Linked DNA regions of Danio rerio. The protein of the gene in region 2 purifies or fractionates together with the protein of the main gene of each other region. This does not show direct contact. Links are inferred from orthologs where the notes say so. Each region holds a gene or a part of one and is shown on either strand. Other genes may lie near its edges. The genes, in order: mrpl18, armc8, ube2h, maea and mkln1.

Region 1 (4,125 bases), on a different chromosome or scaffold from region 2:
ACTGACCAATCAACATGTGATCACATCGTAAATCCCCCAAGTCCACACACCAGGCCCTGATCTCATCAGTATCTGCCTTTTGAGTCAGTATGGATCTTCTTGAAAAAGACATGTTCTGCCATATAAACAAATTCATATGATTATTTTAATTCCTACAAAATGCTTTTTGGATTCTTTCACAAGAATTGAATGTATAAAGTTGGCAAAAATTGGAAGTTAAGATTGCCCTCTTTTTCCATGACGTATATCCAATTAAAACTGGAAATAAGAAAAAAGGTTGGGCGGTGCAAGAAGATTTCACCCTTTGGGGCTATGGATTGTTGGAAGAAATTTCTAACAAAATGAAGCAAGATTGGACGACAAGACAAGGCTAAAACAAAATATGTCTTGACAGCTCCTCCCTAAAGGTGCTCCATGTGACCAGAAGTGAAGAAAAGTTGGTCCAAGGGGGCATGCAGGGGAAGTTATGGCTTTTGAGAAAAAAATATTTTAGAGGGCAAATTAATTTTTACAAAATAATGAAGTTTACAGACACCATTTACAACAAGAACTATCATAGAAATATAAAAATAAGAGGAGCAAATTTTAATCTTATGGTACTGTATGTATGCAAAAATCATGCAGTCAGAGATCCTGTTAGAATGTTCACCAAAATGGTGCATGTACCTGTCCTGGATGCGACAACTTTGTAGCAATACAGAGTATTTAATGTGTAAGTAAATGAGTGCATTAGGAAAGGCTGACCTTTCAGACAAAAACATATTAAGGAAAGTTATTATGGCTGATTACAGGTAACAGCATATTGTTGTAAATGATTTTCAGCTTTTTGTACAGACAAATGTTTACATTTATAGTTTCTCAATGTGAATCAATGATTCATGTTGATTCTGTGTTACATGTAAGTTTTTTTTTTCATCTCCCAAAGTGCTAGCATTGATGAATCATGGAAAAATGCTTTTTTAATGTCCCACTGTAAATAAAATTGATCTCTAATGGCCAAGGTTAAACTACAGTAGGCTACTCCAACACAATAAAATTACTTTTTAATAACTGTGAAGTGATGGATCCTATATGTGAGGTTTTCTTATTTTAGAATGAAGTGTACTGGTGACATCTGGTGGACAGCTTTATAGTATGCGAGTATAAACTATTTTAATAAACTTTAGTTTAAGGGCCTTAAAAGAACGATTTTTTTAAATGCATTAAAGAGCATATTCTATACAACATAAAAAGGGTTTGCATTTGTTTTTATTCATTTTAAGGATCTCTAAACGGAACCCATGTGCAGTTCCAAGTTTCTTCCGGAAACACGGACTGTGTTCTCAGTGACATCAAAATGGCTGCGCACTAGAGTCTGGACAGATCATTTTAATATCATAGAAAAGGTCATGCGGTAGCTGATTGAACAGAAACAACAGTTATAAACTGGCGTTATAATTAAAGGCATAGTTAAAGCCGTCAAATGGCTTTGTTTAGTGATGTTTGTCGTAGTGCTCGCGTGCTGCTAGCTCAATGTCAGAGATCTGCAGCTGCAGCGGCGTGGCTTCACTGTCAGCCCGGTAAGAAACACAACTAAACCTTTAGCTTTATCCACTGATCCTCTGCAGCACGTGTGTGTTCATTACATACAGGCGACGTCTGTGTTTTTTATTGAGGTGAAGCTGGTTTTACATTACATTGAGGTAAAGTTGGTTTTATATTCGCACATTCAGTCTTTCTCATTATTAATATGATGTCAGAAAAGTATTAATTGGAAATTCTAAATAGCGAAATTATATCAACAGCCAACAACCATCAAAGTACAGCATTGTTCACAGTCAATTAAGTAGTGATAATGTTGTTTTGAAGCCATACTTGCATGTGATTTCAGTCCGAATACTCAAAGTACCATGGTAAACAATGTGTGGAGCTGTCACTGAACAAATGTGTGAATATAAAACCATCTTTACCTCAATTTACATTACCACATTAGTTCAGTTACAAGTTGTGACACTGTGTATTGTTTACTATGCCAACGTTACTTTGATTATTCTATCTGAAATTGCATGCAAGTATGACTTCAAAACAATATCAGCACTATTAAATTGACTAAACAATGTTGTACGTTTTTGATAGTCATTAGTGGGATATATGGTTCCCCATTTTTAATTTTCAAACAATACTTTTCTAAAAATATATTATTGGGAACAAAGTCTGAGTGTGCAAATATAAATCCAACTTTACCTCGCTGTGTATTTCTCAGTGCGTTTTGGAACTGAAGTGATTAAAATAACACAAAAGTGGCAGAATATTTAAGTCAGTCTGGACTGTAAATTTTTGGGGAATCTGTTCACAAAAAGATTCTGGTGAGACTGAACTGGGATTAATCTCCAAATTACATTTCTTTTAGACAAAGACTTTTCCCACCAGACTAAACTCGAACAATGTTAATTACAGCTCTTTGTTTTACTTTTTTTTTTCTTTTCAAATTTAAAAACTGTCAATTTTACAGTTATAATGGTGCAGAGCTGCGGAGTCTTAAAAAGTATTAAAAGTTGATAAGCCAATGTAAAGATATTGTCTTAAACGCTATTTTTCAAGATGTTAAATTTTACATGTATGGTTTTTTGTCAAAGTTTGCCTGAATTAAATCAGCAAATATCAGGATTCTGTGTAGTTTATGAAATGAATAAAATCCTGCTAGATCAGGGGTCCGTTCTTCGTACCTCGCTTAAATGATCTAAGATGATTTGGCAGATCCTGGATCTTTTCATCTTGATAACTGATCTCTGGCTAGTTTGGTTCTTCAAACAAGTTCGCGAATCAGATTAGAATGTCTGGATGAACTGATCTGAGATCGCTGCGTGTGTTGTGAAGGACAGATCTATTGATCCTCAAAATCATGATCAAATGCTACGATTGGCTGACGGCATAGCAGCGTAATGACATCATCTGATTAATATTCAATTATCCATGTGAGCAACATTACATCAAATTAGCAGGAAACGGTTTGTTAAATATGACACGCAATAACCTTCCACATTTGTTGTGAGCTGCAGGCTTTACACTTTCATGTGTCAAGAGCATTCATCATGTATTTCAATGCAAATCAATGTATTTAGTACTACATTTAGAAAAGATTTTCTTTATTATAGTAGCCGTTTTTTAATCGGTGTAAACAATAACTGGATGTTTACAAAAGCATTTTGATATTGGTAAAGGGGTCTGCAACTTTTGTGAAGCATCAAATTACTGGCATATTAACTATCAAAACATGTTTAAGACTGCAAAAATGTATTATTTCTTTTAAAAAGTCACATATTGTGCATTTCTATTATACACAAATTGTATTAAAGCGATCTAAAAAGTTCTTATCAATAAGTTTTCTCTGTGCACCACCAAGTGGCAGTCTTTGTACTTTCATTTCGAGAGTGCAGATTGCATGTTTTATTAATATATATATATAACTTTATTTATTTTATTAATAACTATAACTTTATATAGTTAAAATATATTTACCATTTTCCCAGTTGTGACTACTACTGTAAGAAAATATCAGAATTCGGAACATACTTTCTGTATTATCTTTGCTTGAACTGAGCCGATCTAATCCTGTTTATATGAATTGAACCTGCTCCCGATCAGGTTTGAGCTAGCAGAACTGTTGCTATGACGACAACTCTCGAATCAGCTTTGAAGAACGAAACGATCCTGGATCGTGTCAAACCGTCAATATCCAAATCCAGCTAACTAAGTAATCCACGTACGAAGAACGGACCCATGACCTCATGGTGCTTTGTTTACTCCAGTAACCAAGGCAACACCATTATTTTCACAGTTCTAAAGGTGCCCACCTGCTGAATTAGCTTCAATTCAAGCTAATAGATAATGTGTATTTTCTTTTTTCCATGAGCTCTATTATCAATTTAAGAACAATGTTTCTTTCCTTCCCCATACCTCCCAAAGCTAAAGAAGTACATTTTAAATTTTTAATGATATTTACCCATCTTCAGAGTTTCTTAGACATAGATTTAATTTTGATCGCAACAATTGTACATTCTGTGAGGTTGACATGCAAACGATTGCACATTTATTTTTGAATATTTATTGAGCAGAACCTTTTAGTCCAGGGGTCTCCAACCTTTA
Region 2 (3,517 bases):
TCTGACCACTAGACCACATTGGCGCTGTTACTCGTGTGGCCGGAATGATAGTTAGATCATCAATACCCTGTAGGCTGCATTTTGCTCTTGGGGCTGCGAGACAATAAATAAGAAGAGCTGAGCTGCGGCAAAATAATGAATAAAAAGAGTGAGGCTATGGTCAAATAAATAAATCAATGAAAAAAGAAGTGCGACTGCTGAGAGCGCAAGCAGCAAGAAACACCGGCCCTCGCGGCCAAAAAACGGACCGGCACACCGGGAGTTCTCCCGGTCCTCTCGAATGGCCAATCCAAACTGAAAGTAACTGAAAGTAACTCAAACATATAGTACAGTACCTTAAATGTCCAGTAGGTGGGGGGTCAAAACCACAAGTATATATGCGACAGCACAACAATAATAGTGATTCTAAAATAAATGTATCGCTCGGCCGAATCTGGGCAGTTTGAGACCCCTGCATTACAGTAACTTTGGCTCAGGCATTTCAGACAGACTGAAACATTTTTGAGATGTTTTGTGATGAGATCAATCTGCTGGCTTGTTCAATAATCTCCTCACATTACTGTGAGTTTATTGTTGTTGCATATTTATTCAGTAAATGCATTTTTCCTTTGTACTTTATACTCGTCTTTTTTTGCTGGAAAAAATTTAATTCAATAAAGCTGCAAATTTTAAACGTAAATTTTCAGAATGATTTTTAGAATGTATGCTCAGCTGGGTGTTTTATTTCATCCAGTATATTTTTATGCAAAGGAATTTTACTTGTCGACTTGTAGAGCTGCGCATTAATAGATTTGCTGAACTTCAACTCTGAAAACTGGACTGAAACAGTTTCAATTTACTAGAACTTCTATGTTAAGCTGCTTTGACACAATTTGCACTGTAAAAGCGCTATAGAAATAAAAATGTATTGAATTGAATAAATAGATGGATGAAAACATACTGTACAGCAATGTTATCTGTTAATTTCTGTTAAAATATGTGTCTTCTGTTCAAATTCTTCAAATGAATAGATGTTATTTTTTATTTAATTATTAAAAATTATCCAGGAGGCTCATTTTGCATTTTCAAAAGCACATCATACTGTATAATAGCACAACATGAATGACAAACTTAGTCCATCGTCAATTTAAAAAAAAAACTTTGCTATACAGAAAGCACACAAATCAAATCTTATAAATCCAAAACTATTTTTGTTGACTGATAGGAAGAGATTAAGCACTAAAGTTAAGGTGTGCTGACAGTTTTTCGCTTTGTAGATATGTGTTAATAATGCTAAGCCCAACAAAGTGTAAATACTTTACCTCTTTACTGGGTGAAAATTCCAGAAGAAGGTTGCATAGTGTTGAAGAGGCCATGACCAGCACCTCATCTGGTGCGTTCTGTAATAACTACCAAAACAAACAAAACAAACGTTTATTCTGTTTAGCTTAGATTAGCGTTGATATTCAGCTTAGCATCATCGAGATGTCATACCTTCATTAGTGGTTTCCATACGGCATGATCATGGAAACTCGTTCTTAGCTGTTGTACTGATCGTGATAAACTGTGGAGACATCTAGAGGAAAACAAATAAAAAGAAATCATCTGAAATACAAAAGCAACATTTTTTAAATTCTTGAAACTCTTTCAACATCCAATTGCTGTGGCATTTCAACAAACACATTTCATATTTGCTCCACTGATCAATAGTTTGAGGTCAGTAAGAGGTCTTGAATGTTTTTAAGCTCATCAACAGTGCATTCATATTATAAAAATTAATTACAGAAGTACTGTGAAAAGAGATGCCTCATACCTGACTGCTGCTAACCGTACTTTGATACTAGATTCTGATAAGCCGCTAACAATTCTGTCCATCATGTTTTCCGTCTCTGTAATCTGTAGGGGAGAAATTGGATCTTTCATTACATCAACCCAATATCTTTACTTAGGGATGTTCATTGTGAATCTTTTTCCTGACTGACAACTGACATTTATTACATGTAAAAAGACAATGTCAATTAAATTACAATTAAATTCAATTAGATGTGTGACTGTGACTCTTTAAAATACCTCTAATGTTTTATCTTACATAACCATTATATACAGTTAGGGCTGAAATTATTAATACCCCTGACAAATTCTGACAAAAAAGCTTTTGTTTAAATGTAAACAAAAGCTCTTGTACATCATCTTATTATCTTTCAGAAGAAAAATGACAGGGATGAAGCCCTAAAAAAGCCCTGAAAAAAAATTATGGTGGAATAAAATTTACTTTAAGTCAGAATTTGCCAGGGGTGTGTTTGTGTTTAATGAAATTTACTTTTAAAATAACATAAATGACCCACTGAACTACTTATTTTGACAATAATAGTAATCTTCTAATAATCTTCTTATAGAGTTCCTACAATCAATTAACAGGTCATTTTGAAAAACCTTTCATTATTTACTCCTCCTTAAGTTGTTCCAAACCTGTTAGATATTCTTCTGTTGAAAACAGAAAATATTTTAAGAAAGAAAATTGGAAACCATGTAACCATTGACTTTCACAGTATGTTTTTCCTACTTTGAAAGTTGATGGTTTCAGGTTTCCAGCTTTCTTCAAAATATCTTCTTCTGTGTTCAACAAAAGACAGAAAGGTTTATTACCACTTGAGGGAGAGTAAATTGTAAGTAAGGTTTAATTTTCAAAAAGGTAAACTATCCTTTAAAACACTGAAGAGGTTTAACTACACATGAGGAGAATGACAGGGATGAAGCCTGTCATTTACGATCAAAAAAAAAAAACTTGCTGGTTGAATAAAAGTTACTTTAAATCAGAATTTCCCAGGTGTGTGCTTGTGTTTAATAAAATGTACTTTTGAAATAACTTAAATGACCCACTGAACTACTTGTTTGACAAAAATAGTAATCTTCTAATAATCTTCTTATAGAATTCCTACTGTCAATTAACAGGTCAGTTATGAAAATTTCTCTTTTTAACTGTCATGGTATCAAGGTTGACTTTTTAAGTCTTCAGTCACACTGATAATTTTTTTAGGAACACAAAGCATTATAACATAACGCTGGATAAAAATAAAACAACAGCAAAAGATAAACAAATTAGTTAAGATAAGCTAAAAATCTACACATCGAGGTAATCTATCTAAGCCAACTATAGTGTCTCACCTTCTTCCTGATGTCCTCATCATTAGACCCCAGTGAAGCATAGAGTTTAAAGGCTGCCTGTCGAAGCTCATGTGCATGTTTCAAGTCATGATCCAACTAAACACAGACAGGGACATTTTTTACTGTTCAATGGCTTAATCAGCATAATCTGTATATTTAGGTTTATATAAAAACAGGAGAAGAAAATATGTCCTCCTTTATCAATTAATTAAATGCCAAAGACAAAAAAGATTTAGGTTTATACAAAAACAGGAGAAGAAAATATGTCCTCCTTTATCAATTAATTAAATGCCAAAGACAAAAAAGCATCAAAAATAATATGGCAATCATTTAGCTTGAGGCATCAAAACAATAAAAGTGCATAGTCATTAAA
Region 3 (3,517 bases), on a different chromosome or scaffold from region 2:
CAATAAAAATAAATAAATAAATAAAAAGGATTCTTGGTTTTTATTTTGTATTTTCCACTTACCATGAATAGGTAAAACAGATTCTTATTATTATTTTATCTTTTGGAAGAAAAAAAAGACACTGCGGAATGATTATTTAGCACCAACTGGATTCAATCAATATAAAAAAAAATCTGAATCACATATGTCGGAATAATTTCACAAGACAGACTGCATTACTGAATTAAAAAAAAAAAAACTCAAGTCAACCTTTGGAGATAATTGCAATCATTATATTATTAACTATGCAGTTAAAATCAGAGTGACAGCATAAAAAAGCCTGTGGTGTGAATGGCCTCTGGCGGGATGGACCCGTTTAAGTGTGCTTGTTAGGTATACTGATGCTGTTTTCTGACCTTGCAGGTATTAGCTCATTCAGAGAAGGTAAGAGGATTATAGTGCACCACCATCCTGACTAAAGGCCAGGAGACTTTATTCTACTCCTCGGGCAGCATCAATGCAAGCTCTGGCTTTTCCTGAGCATTCATTCTCAATATGAATCCACAATGAGGTCATATGTACTCACCATAAAGAGCGGTCCATGTCTGGTTGATCACATCTAAACACACGGTCCCTGACCTGGAAAAACAGTGACAGTATTGGCATTAGAGCAGGACTAATGAGCTAAATTAATATTATTGTACTTAGATTCACTATGACACGCCATCACATTGTTTACTTCCACTTCTCCATTCTATGAGAGTGATTCCGATTACATTTTAAGGTACAGTATGCAAACTTTTTGTGTTTCCTTTTGAGATAACATTTTTTGTTCCTATTCAGCTAAAAATAGTAAATGCAAATAACTGTATTTAACTATACTGACTATAATCATATTGTTTAACTGGTGTAGTATGATATTATCATGTTTTAAACCATTTACGACACTTTGTTCATTATTATTAGTATATCTAACATACTAATGGACAGTATTTTTATTACTTCTCCAAAACCTGATCATCTTAGCATAGACTTTTATATACACACAATGTATTTTATTTACTCAAGCATTCCTGGATTTCAAGCTTTACAGTAATGACCGAGGATATTTATGTGACTAATAAAAAGCTAAAATGAATTTAAGAGATGGTTCTTTCATATTCAAAAGAAGAAACAAATTGTCACCGGTTTAAAACAACTTCAGGATGAGTCAACAACGATGGCATTTTAATTTTTGGGGTCAATTATCCTTTAAAAAAAAAAAAAGCATTCTTCACAAAACTATCATAAGACTTTTAAAAGACGACGCCAATTGGACTACTTTTAAATGATTGAATTGATTAATCCTTTTTTTTGGAGCTTGAAAAACCCTGTTTTGTCTTTAATATATAGAAAAAGAGCAGCATAAACATTTTTTAAAGTATCTCCTTTAGCATTCTTCAATCATCAAACAGGTTTTGAATGATTAGAGAATGATGGATTTACGTTTTTAGGTAAAATATCCTTAGAAGAAAGCCTCAGAATATCACTTACGCTTCATCGATGTTTGGATGAAAAATCTTATTCATAAATCCTACGAGAAAAATCAAAACAGGAAGTGAGATATATCAAAACAACAGCGTTTCAATGCACTAACCAACACCATCTTTACAGACTATTAAACATGACATCAAAGTGATGGCATGGCATTTTTTCCAAATTACACACGTATCTAAATGTAATCTACTCATAATTTCACAACCCAACCACCGTACGTGGCTGATCATGTCACTGTAATGCTTTACCTATAGACGGAGATTTGAAGGGGTATTTGTCTGGAAGATCTACTCGCACCTTCCAAACGCCCCCTTCATACGGTGCTGACAGGAAAAAACAAAACAGAAAGAGACACATGATGACTCAAGCTTTAAGACGAGACAATGTAGGCAAGATTTATTTCTGCACCTGTCAAATTTAATGTTTTGACTTTTCCTTTTAAGATATCTTTCAAAACACACTTTAAAGTGTTGATTTTATCACTCTTTTGCCATTTATTTTAATTACAAACGATATTTTTCTCCTGCATTGAGCCATAAGCACACACTTTGGCAGCACTTATTGTTTATATCGCAATCTTTACAGTTACATCTATGAAGGTTTTTACAGAGCAGACCTGGGCATTTTATGGCCCCCGGGCCAAATGCGGCCCACTGGACTTCTTTGATCAGCCGGCGTGAAGTATTTATTGAATTTCAATTCAACCGCAAACAGGGCCTTCATTGCACAGGTCTGATATTGCGAGTCAACAAAAGTCGACTTTCACATATAGCGCCTTTTGCAAGCTTAGTTTCGTTATTTTAAACAGACACTCGGGTTCAGCACGCAAATAAGAAGGGATTCACATGAGGTATGCCACACTGAATGAATAAATAAATAAATACAAGTTAACTAAGGTGAAGCAATCAAACAAACAACTCTGTAACATTTATATGAAGCTGACCTTTAAAATACTTTTGTGTAACATTTTTTTTTTACTTTAGAGTTTTTATTGAATTTTGTATTTTTTTTAACAAATTAAATGTATTGATCTCGCCCTCTAAAACCACCCCAGAGTCTATTGTGGCTCCTTGGAAAAATCAATTGCCCACCTCTGTTACAAAGGGATGTGTTCATACATAGTTTGACTGATTATATAAATCGATATATACTTTTTTTCAGACTGTTCCCAGAATTATATAACAAGAAAAGAGATTCCCTCTGAATATGTAAATAAGGCATTATTCATTTCTAACACACACATTACAAACCACACATTTTTAAAAACTACAAAAGTTTAGAAACAGTTTTCAATCGTAAGTTAACCCTCTACAGCACATCGTTGCCCTCAGGCAACAGAAAGTTTTCTTAAGGCTTGTGCTAAGCACAGATTTCTTAAAATGATTGCAACCAATTAAAATGTTAGAAAAAGTATCAATGAAACATCCAATAAGGCGTGCGAGTCACTATCTAGCACCGTTTGAAGGTGGAACTTCATTTTCTGACTCATGGTGACATGGATGGGAAGAAGTTAAGAATATTTGCTTAATTAACCTCATTCTAAGTAATATAAACTGTACAAAAATTGTATGTATTTGTGAAGTTGTAGAGAAGCCTTTTGTATAACTATATATATATATTTTTTTACCCTATTCACCTGCGGTGTCTTGCCTTAAAAAGACTAACACTCATAATGACTAACCTACGAGTGACTGAATGTGGGCGGAACACTAATTCCTTATTTGATAATTATGAATAATAAGTGTAAGGACACACGTGTGGGTGTGTATATATGTGTGCTATTGGTGTGGTGTGATATGAGGTCTGGTGCAACGTGTGCTCGCTCCAAGAATAGCCTTCTGCAATTTGACCCTTGTGGTCAGAAGCTCAAACTACGAAAGGTAAAGCCTGGGTGAGAGGAGACCGATAAGACTTCTGCTTCTCAATGTAGAGAGAGAGAAAAAAGGTCTTTACAGAGGATGATATGATAATTAAATAGGACCACAGGATGTTCTCTGGGTAA
Region 4 (4,307 bases), on a different chromosome or scaffold from region 2:
AAAATGCCTCTGTCAATGTTTTCAAACCATTAGATTTGGTTTACCAAAGTCACACAAGTGGCAATTTCACATCTGTCACATCCATAACAGAGAAATGTAACATCCATAACGAAGTTTTTTCCTCATTAATGGAAATGTCAAATAAAATAAAACCAATCTTGTTTGTTCTATAGTGAGCTAACAATAGTAAGCTATAGTGAGCTGTTCTATAGTTATCCTTTTGATTAGCATTCTTTATTTTGGGTTGTGCACTTTAATTCATAGAATTTTTACCAAGTATGTTGTATACTATAAACTTGGATACTTTTTGGTCACGTACATAACGCATGTTTACTTCTCTCATTTAAAATATTAAAAATGTTTAAAGATTAATATTTTCGGATGACTTGACTTTGTGGTTAGTTGTTCTAGGAAATATAAACTAATGTTTCAATATAATGTTAACATATTCTTTCTCTGTGAGTTTTTGCTTTGAATTTTTACTACAAATGTCACATTCATAACGCTGGAATTGCTCTTTACCCAAAAAGTGGTACGGTCTGCTTTTTTGGTTCCTTAGACAGTGAAATGGGCCAAAAAAAAAGTACGATACTCTACCACACCATACCATAGGATTGTCACGATTCTAGAATTTGGTACCAATTTGTACAGAAATAAAAAAAAAAAGTCCATTTCCCGCAAACATTTGAGCGCTGTTGAGCACAGCGCTGATTCGCCATTGTGTTCACATGCTCAAAAGAAACGACTGTGATTGGCCGTGAAGGTCATTAGTTCACCAAATTCATTGCTGTTTACTTAGTGTAATAATCACAGTTTTTTCTGTTGAGTTAGTGAATACAATGGCAAATCAGCAGTGTTTAAGAATGTGCTCAACAGTGCACAAATGTTTGCAGGAAATTGATGTTTTTAAAATTTCAGTATCGATTGGTACCGAATTCCAGTATCATGACAACCCTATACCATATGGCTCAGGGCAGGCCACAAGACATTTATAATGAAATCTGAGAGCTCTTTCTACAGACTGCAACAGACCTGAGACATTCAAAGTTCAAAAAAAAGGAACCAAAACATTTTCGAAACATTCCATCTAACTTCAGTCAGAATGTGAATGTTGCCATCTATGGAGGATGAGGGAGCTCTCAGATATCCTCTAAAAATCTTAAACTGTGTTCTGGAGACAAAATAAAGGAAATTGTAAATGACATAAGGGTGAGAATTTAATAACAAAATGTAATTTTTGAGTAAACTAGCCCTGTAATGCTGGTTGCTATTCACTGCCAATTACTTTTTTTAAAGAAGAGGAAATGATATCAGGGTTATACATATTCATAGGTAGTTCGTTTTTAGGTGAACTCTTTAAGACATCTGTTTATTTCATTATTAGGCAGCAACCACCATTCATTTGTGACATACACTAGTAAAAATTAAATGTCATAAAAGGAATGTATTCCTTTTCGATTGTACACCATTATATAATTTGTAAATATGAACAAATATCAATTGTAATGATTCATCTACCTCTAAAACATTACACCAACCAGTCTCTTTTATGAAAGAGCTGTTCCACATATTTTCATTACACTTCCTCAACCAATGTGGCTTCTGGTTCTGCACCAAAATAGCGACTGGTATATATGGTTAGATCATGATGCAATGATCAAGAATGTACTGGAAATCATTCCCAATGCTGCAAGACAAGCTTAGATGCAACATGCCCTTGACACAGCAGTGAAGACCATATATTATTGACATTCAGTGTGCGTTTACATAAACAGGCGTCAAATTACATGAGATCCATGAACTAATCACGTCACAAAGCACTCAATGCATCATCAATCAGTCAAAAGAACCGGTTAACGTGAGGATTCATCCATAACGACGCTATCAATCGTGAAAAAAACCTCTGACGCAGAGAACAAAGGTGCTGTATCCCACCCATTACCGTAAATAATAAGCTCCTCATCGACAATCTACACCTGGTTGTTAAGCCCGCAAACGACCAACACAACATGATACAATGTGATCCTAATATGGTGCATAAATCGCATGCATACCGATCTCTGGTCACCATTGGCATGTGTATATCCCTCCAGCATTCATCTAAAGCCACGGAAAATCATAGCTTTAGATGACAGCCGCCAAATAGCAATCAAACGCACACATGAGACTGAACAGCAGTCGATTATGAAGCATCAGTACATCCGATATTATTCGTGTCACTCACTATCCAACCTCGCTAATGATTATCGTCAATCTGCCTTGAACTGCATTGCTCGCTGGTTACACTAGTGGACAAACCTGTGATGGGATAAAACAGCGTCTATTAACACAACACTGTCGGAACGCAAGAATGACATGGGCCAGACTGACATTAATCGACTCATTTACCCCTTTAACACAGCTGTCGACGCAATTTATAACTGAACATGCGATGTCACTGCTGGAATATTTGCGATCACTCCGGTTAGATCGGTTTGTGTGGGACTTGTTTTGCTAAGTTATCTAGCCCCAGAGCTAACCAGTTAACTGTCTAAATGCAGACACAGTTTTAATTTGATGGATAATCTCAGTTTGATGCCCTGTTATTGAGGTCAAACAACGCACACGGAATCTGTTTAGTTGCGTGATTAGATTATGGAGAGGAAACGCTTGACAGACCTTTAAAGTTGGGTATTCTTGCACCTTTAGGGCCATAGAGAGTTGAGCTGCTGTCTCTTGCACCGCCATCTTGCTTTGGGGAAACTGTGGAGCGTTTGTTCGTCTTCTTCCCGGATTTGGTCTTCGCCGCGGCAGCGAGGTTAGAACTGTTTGTTACCGCCTCCTAGTGTGGCGGTGAATGCTTGTGTTTTTAGGATCAAAAAGATAATTCAGCCAAAAATAAAAATGTACCCATTATTTAAGGCACAGCTGTCAAAATCAGTTTGTGGATCGCCTCAGCTGCACAGATAGAGGTAAAGTTGGTTTTATATTCGGATATTCAGACATTCTCCTGAATAATATAATTCCAGAAAAATATTATTTGAAAATTGTAAATAGCGAAATCATATTAGCAGTAAATGATCGTTAAAGTACAACATTGTTCACAGTGAATTACATAGTGTTAATGTTGTTTAGAAGTCATACTTGCATGCTAATTCCGATCGAATATTCAAAGTAACATGGTAAACAAGAAAGAGACTTCTAAATGAACGAATATGCGAATATAAAACCAACTTTACCTCTATTCTGCACAGTTAACGTTAAGTTCCAACAGTTCAGCAAAGGTAGCAACAGATTCACAGATTCGTTGCTAACTTTACTGAACTAGTTCCAACCCTAATGGACTCCTTTTAAAAGACATTTAACTTAAGGGTCATTGTTTAACACGTTTAGCAGTCATCATAAACTTAAATCCCTGAAAGTTTTTAATATTTAGATTTTTAAAAAACACGTAAACATTTATATGCATTTATGAATGTATTAGATCAACTTTGCGTCAAATTACATTAAAACCAATTACCTCTAAAGCGAGGTGTTTGTAGCGTCTGTAGGGCTTAGAGTAAATTTGATGTTATTGTCTCCTCTGGCTGCCATCATCAGTCTCACACAATTTTTTCCCCCTATTTCTGAAAGTCGTGATAACACCACCATGGAGTTTTTTATATTTCAGCAAATAGGATTGTAAAAGATGTTTTTGTTGTACTCTCCCATTCACTGCGCTCTAAGTTTACCCAACCATGATGCCTTCCACTACTGAGAAAGCCAGAAGTGTGAAAAGGGTCTATTAAACACACATGATCAAACTAACCGAGTCCTTCAGGCTTGTTTGAAATCTACAGGTAACAGTCACACTAGAGTTTGAGCATGTGAAATCCTGTTATATGTCGCTGCAAGAGGGGCGGGATTAAACAAGATGATTATACATTAAAAAAAAAAAAACAAGTGATAGGTCCATGTTTTAAATTCCTGTCCGAAGAGGTCATTTTTGGATTTTCGATCTCACGCAATTATGTGATGCGATTTTGTACTCCAAGTTTGATCTTTTCAACGCAGCAATCTGCGTTTTCAATGTGACGCATTCTTGTGCGTATGAATGGATGTCTATAGGGAGAAAAGTGCAGTGTGATCGCAACTTAAGTATGTTGGAGTTGGGTTGGAACCAATGGTGTAGTCAGGGCTATACGCATGTATACTCCATATGCTTACTTTTTTACCACTGTTTGGGTATTACGACTTTAAAGGATCAATAATTGCGTATACCCTCGATATACTCACTTTTTTTGGTGATTAAATTTCCCTAATTTATGTGTATTCGTGTCACCTTTAAC
Region 5 (3,517 bases), on a different chromosome or scaffold from region 2:
CTGCTCTCTTCCAGATGGTTTGTTTAATCAGTACATCAGCCAGCAGGATTATAAGCCACGCTGGAGTCAGATCATCCCCAAATGTAACAAAGGTACGACAGCAGTCCGCTGTGGCACTGAATCTGGACACTGGACTCCAGGAAGTCTGCTGCTGTATTAATGACTTACCGACTTCTTCCTGACACGCACCACTTCTTATTGTTTTTTTTGTTTTTAACTTTCTGATTAGGCGATGGTGATGATAACAGGCCGGGCATGAGAGGAGGTCATCAAATGGTCATTGATGTTCAGACAGGTACGTTTTACATCACGCTGCTCATTTGCAAACTTTCTGATTGGGTGGTTATCATATCACTGTTTAGCTTGTCCTGTCTTGCTCATAGTGGAATGCATGCCTTTTTGCTCTGCTGTTGCAAGTTAATGGCTGTTTTAAGCGTGCGTGTGAATTGGTGAGCTTGTTGTTTGAAGAACAGTCGATCCCGCAGCTCTGTGCATTCAGACTGACCTCGAGTAACCCACTCTACACGGCTCAGCTGACGCTCAATAGCTCAAACAACTGTCTCTGCTTATCACCATGGCTACATCAGCCTTTCAACCTCACCACACAGCTGCCTTTCAAGAAAATGACGATTTATAAGCACTTAAAGCATGTTTTTTATGCTTCGGTTTCATATTGAATCTCTTACAAAGGAGTAAGACGGCTCACCCACTCACTCTAGCTTTCTCTCTCTCTGTTTGTACTTTTGTGTCCGTGTCTTTTGTTCATCAGAAACCGTGTATTTGTTCGGTGGCTGGGATGGAACGCAGGACTTGGCTGATTTCTGGGCGTACAGTGTGAAGGAGAACCAATGGGCCTGCATCTCCAGGGACACAGAGAAAGAGGTAAGAGAGAAAGTAAAAGAGGGAATTTCTTTTCAATTATGACTCAGCTGAATGGCACAAAAAAAAATCCCTAGGCATTTCCATCATGTCTGATTTTCACATACTATAGTGAGTGAGCTCTCTGTGCAAAGTGCATTGATAGATGGGTGATCTTTCAGCGGTTGGCTATTTAGATCTGGAATTTTAACTTGTAGTTGTAATAGTTCATGCTTGAGGATGATATGATTGAAATGGAAAATATGTGGAGTGACGTCCTCAGTGTTGACAGAAGTTATAATAGATGATCTTATTGGCTGTCTGGTACACAGTCCAGTTGAAACTAAAACCGCTTATTAACAGCAATGGCTGATTGACATAACCAATCACAGTTTACCATTTTAAGGCTCATTAGGGAGATTAAAATACATCAATATGGATTCATTTATTGATCAAATGACAAATTATATTGATTATTTGTGAGTTAATATAAAATCAATGTTTTTTTTGTAAATTAGGCACTTAATATCAAAATATTGATCGATATTTATTATATTTAATCCACTAAATTGATTTTAGTTAGATATTTTAGTATATGTATCTATATATATCTATATATATCTATATATATATATATATATATATATATATATATATATATATATATATATATATATATGTGTATATATATATGTGTGTATATATGTATATATATGTGTGTATATATGTATATATATGTGTGTGTGTGTGTGTGTGTGTGTGTGTATATATATATATATATATATATATATATATATATATATATATATATATATATATATATATATATATATATATATATATATATATATATATATATATTGTATAGGTTGATAAGAGTATCAGTATTATATCGTCTCGTTACAAGACATCCAATTTTTTTTTGAGAACCAAAAACTGTTTTATTTGTATGCTTGTTAGTTTTTTGTTTTGTTTAGTGCTACTCTGGGCCCTAAATTTTGATAACATTGACCTTAAAAAATTTGAATCACAAACTGACTGTTTTTTTCCTTTTTGAAATATCGATACCTTGATACTTCATCTTCCATCCTCATCTATAGTTTACTCTGTCTTGTAGATGTATCGAGAATCAGATGAAAGTGTGAAAGAAAAGTCTTGTGCAATATGTAAATGGTCTAAATGCCTTCGTTACACTTGGAATTAACGTCTGTTTCAGTGATCCGATTGCAAATGGTCAGCCAAGACACATTACCATTTACACCTGGTATTGACATGTGTTAAAATCATCTTCATGAGTTTCTTCAAGAATACATCACTTCCGCAGGAGCACTGAGTGCTGTTAGAGTCTCTTTAACATAATTGATTTCACTCTGTGCCATCTTTGAAACACCTCTCGGGAACTTTCCAAAACTGTTTGCCAAGCTTACGATTACATTACATATTTCTCACAAATTTTGGTTTTAAGAGTTCAAATGAGATCACGACATTTACTCATTTACTCATTGCCATTCTCTGGATATTGCTTCGTCAGATTGTGCTGGTCTTCTGAAGTAATCCACAACTTGGTCTTGAGGCGAATCTCCTCCAATGACAGTGACTGTTTGTTTAATTTTGTGTGCGTTTGAGTAGTTGCTGCTGTCATGTGATGGGTGTTTGACAGGACAAACTATACCTCGTGTTCATTTTATACAGATTACAAAACCAAAAACTTTTGTTTTCAGGTGTAGTCGGTTAATTTAAAAGTACAAATTTCAAGCTTTATATGTATATGTGAAGAAGTGTTTTTCATGTTGCCTCTGAAGCAAGTATTTGCTGAGATTCCAGTGCATTTATTGTCCACAACAAACTGTCATAAAAGCACACAATTGGTCTGAGCTTCTCCTCTTGGAGAGATCAATGATTGGCTTCTGTACTAGAAGGCAGAGCTTCATTCGCCGTATTGACCGACAATTTTCCCCATTTAAATCTATACAAGTGACAGGTCTTGTGTATTTATAGTCTTTAGTGCTATTGAATAAATGAAAAACCCATGTAATGCAGCTTTTGAGTGAGCGAGGAAATGATGAATGAGAAGATTGTGGATGTTACAATTTTTTTTCATTGTAATTCGGTTTTGGTAGATCATGGTGAGGTATGAATACTTTCTTTTTGTCCCATAGTTATCGTGTATGGTTTGACATGACAGAAAGCAGAATGGTCATATGTAGTTTCATTAGAAGTTGTCATCTTTTACACCTGTATTTCATCTACTTGTGATCGGATTAATGAAAATGCATCCTAATACTTGGCTTAAATGGCAATAACTACAAAGGTGGTGTTACATTTTTTTTTTCAGAGTGGTCCCAGTGCTCGTTCATGCCACAAAATGTGCATCGATTCTCAACGGAGGCAGATCTACACGCTGGGCCGATATCTGGACTCCTCGGTCAGAAACAGCAAGTCTCTGAAGAGTGACTTCTACTGCTACGACATTGACGCAAACACGTGGACCCTCCTGAGTGAAGACACATCCGCTGATGGAGGACCCAAACTTGTGTTCGACCACCAGGTAAATTGCACAACCTACAGTATATGCAGGATTTATCCTCCATACCATCAGGAGTCTCTCTTTTACAGATTTATGATGAACACCTATTAAAATAATCTTCCTTTTGCGTCC

What was found.
Region 1: the proteins of armc8 (region 2) and mrpl18 purify together in Homo sapiens (affinity purification with mass spectrometry; 3 studies listed by BioGRID and IntAct, with this or other methods). This does not show direct contact. The link is inferred for Danio rerio from reciprocal best matches to the Homo sapiens genes ARMC8 and MRPL18.
Region 3: the proteins of armc8 (region 2) and ube2h purify together in Homo sapiens (affinity purification with mass spectrometry; 3 studies listed by BioGRID and IntAct, with this or other methods). This does not show direct contact. The link is inferred for Danio rerio from reciprocal best matches to the Homo sapiens genes ARMC8 and UBE2H.
Region 4: the proteins of armc8 (region 2) and maea purify together in Homo sapiens (affinity purification with mass spectrometry; 5 studies listed by BioGRID and IntAct, with this or other methods). This does not show direct contact. The link is inferred for Danio rerio from reciprocal best matches to the Homo sapiens genes ARMC8 and MAEA.
Region 5: the proteins of armc8 (region 2) and mkln1 purify together in Homo sapiens (affinity purification with mass spectrometry; 4 studies listed by BioGRID and IntAct, with this or other methods). This does not show direct contact. The link is inferred for Danio rerio from reciprocal best matches to the Homo sapiens genes ARMC8 and MKLN1.

What each region holds. Positions count from the first base shown.
Region 1 is NC_133189.1:40,104,069-40,108,193, reverse strand, and holds the start of mrpl18 (large ribosomal subunit protein uL18m), read left to right. Parts: upstream 1-1,316; 5' UTR 1,317-1,462; coding exon 1,463-1,559; intron 1,560-4,125. UniProt on the Homo sapiens protein: Together with thiosulfate sulfurtransferase (TST), acts as a mitochondrial import factor for the cytosolic 5S rRNA.
Region 2 is NC_133184.1:29,563,158-29,566,674, reverse strand, and holds part of armc8 (armadillo repeat-containing protein 8), read right to left. Parts: intron 3,241-3,517; coding exon 3,145-3,240; intron 1,876-3,144; coding exon 1,793-1,875; intron 1,556-1,792; coding exon 1,474-1,555; intron 1,389-1,473; coding exon 1,302-1,388; intron 1-1,301. UniProt on the Homo sapiens protein: Component of the CTLH E3 ubiquitin-protein ligase complex that selectively accepts ubiquitin from UBE2H and mediates ubiquitination and subsequent proteasomal degradation of the transcription factor HBP1.
Region 3 is NC_133179.1:15,632,196-15,635,712, reverse strand, and holds part of ube2h (ubiquitin-conjugating enzyme E2 H), read right to left. Parts: intron 1,839-3,517; coding exon 1,764-1,838; intron 1,553-1,763; coding exon 1,513-1,552; intron 619-1,512; coding exon 566-618; intron 1-565. UniProt on the Homo sapiens protein: Accepts ubiquitin from the E1 complex and catalyzes its covalent attachment to other proteins. E2 ubiquitin conjugating enzyme that transfers ubiquitin to MAEA, a core component of the CTLH E3 ubiquitin-protein ligase complex.
Region 4 is NC_133189.1:25,445,507-25,449,813, forward strand, and holds the start of maea (E3 ubiquitin-protein transferase MAEA), read right to left. Parts: upstream 2,810-4,307; 5' UTR 2,728-2,809; coding exon 2,659-2,727; exon of another isoform or gene 2,097-2,658; coding exon of another isoform or gene 2,055-2,096; intron 1-2,054.
Region 5 is NC_133179.1:12,280,173-12,283,689, forward strand, and holds part of mkln1 (muskelin), read left to right. Parts: intron 1-14; coding exon 15-92; intron 93-229; coding exon 230-295; intron 296-769; coding exon 770-882; intron 883-3,193; coding exon 3,194-3,406; intron 3,407-3,517. UniProt on the Homo sapiens protein: Component of the CTLH E3 ubiquitin-protein ligase complex that selectively accepts ubiquitin from UBE2H and mediates ubiquitination and subsequent proteasomal degradation of the transcription factor HBP1.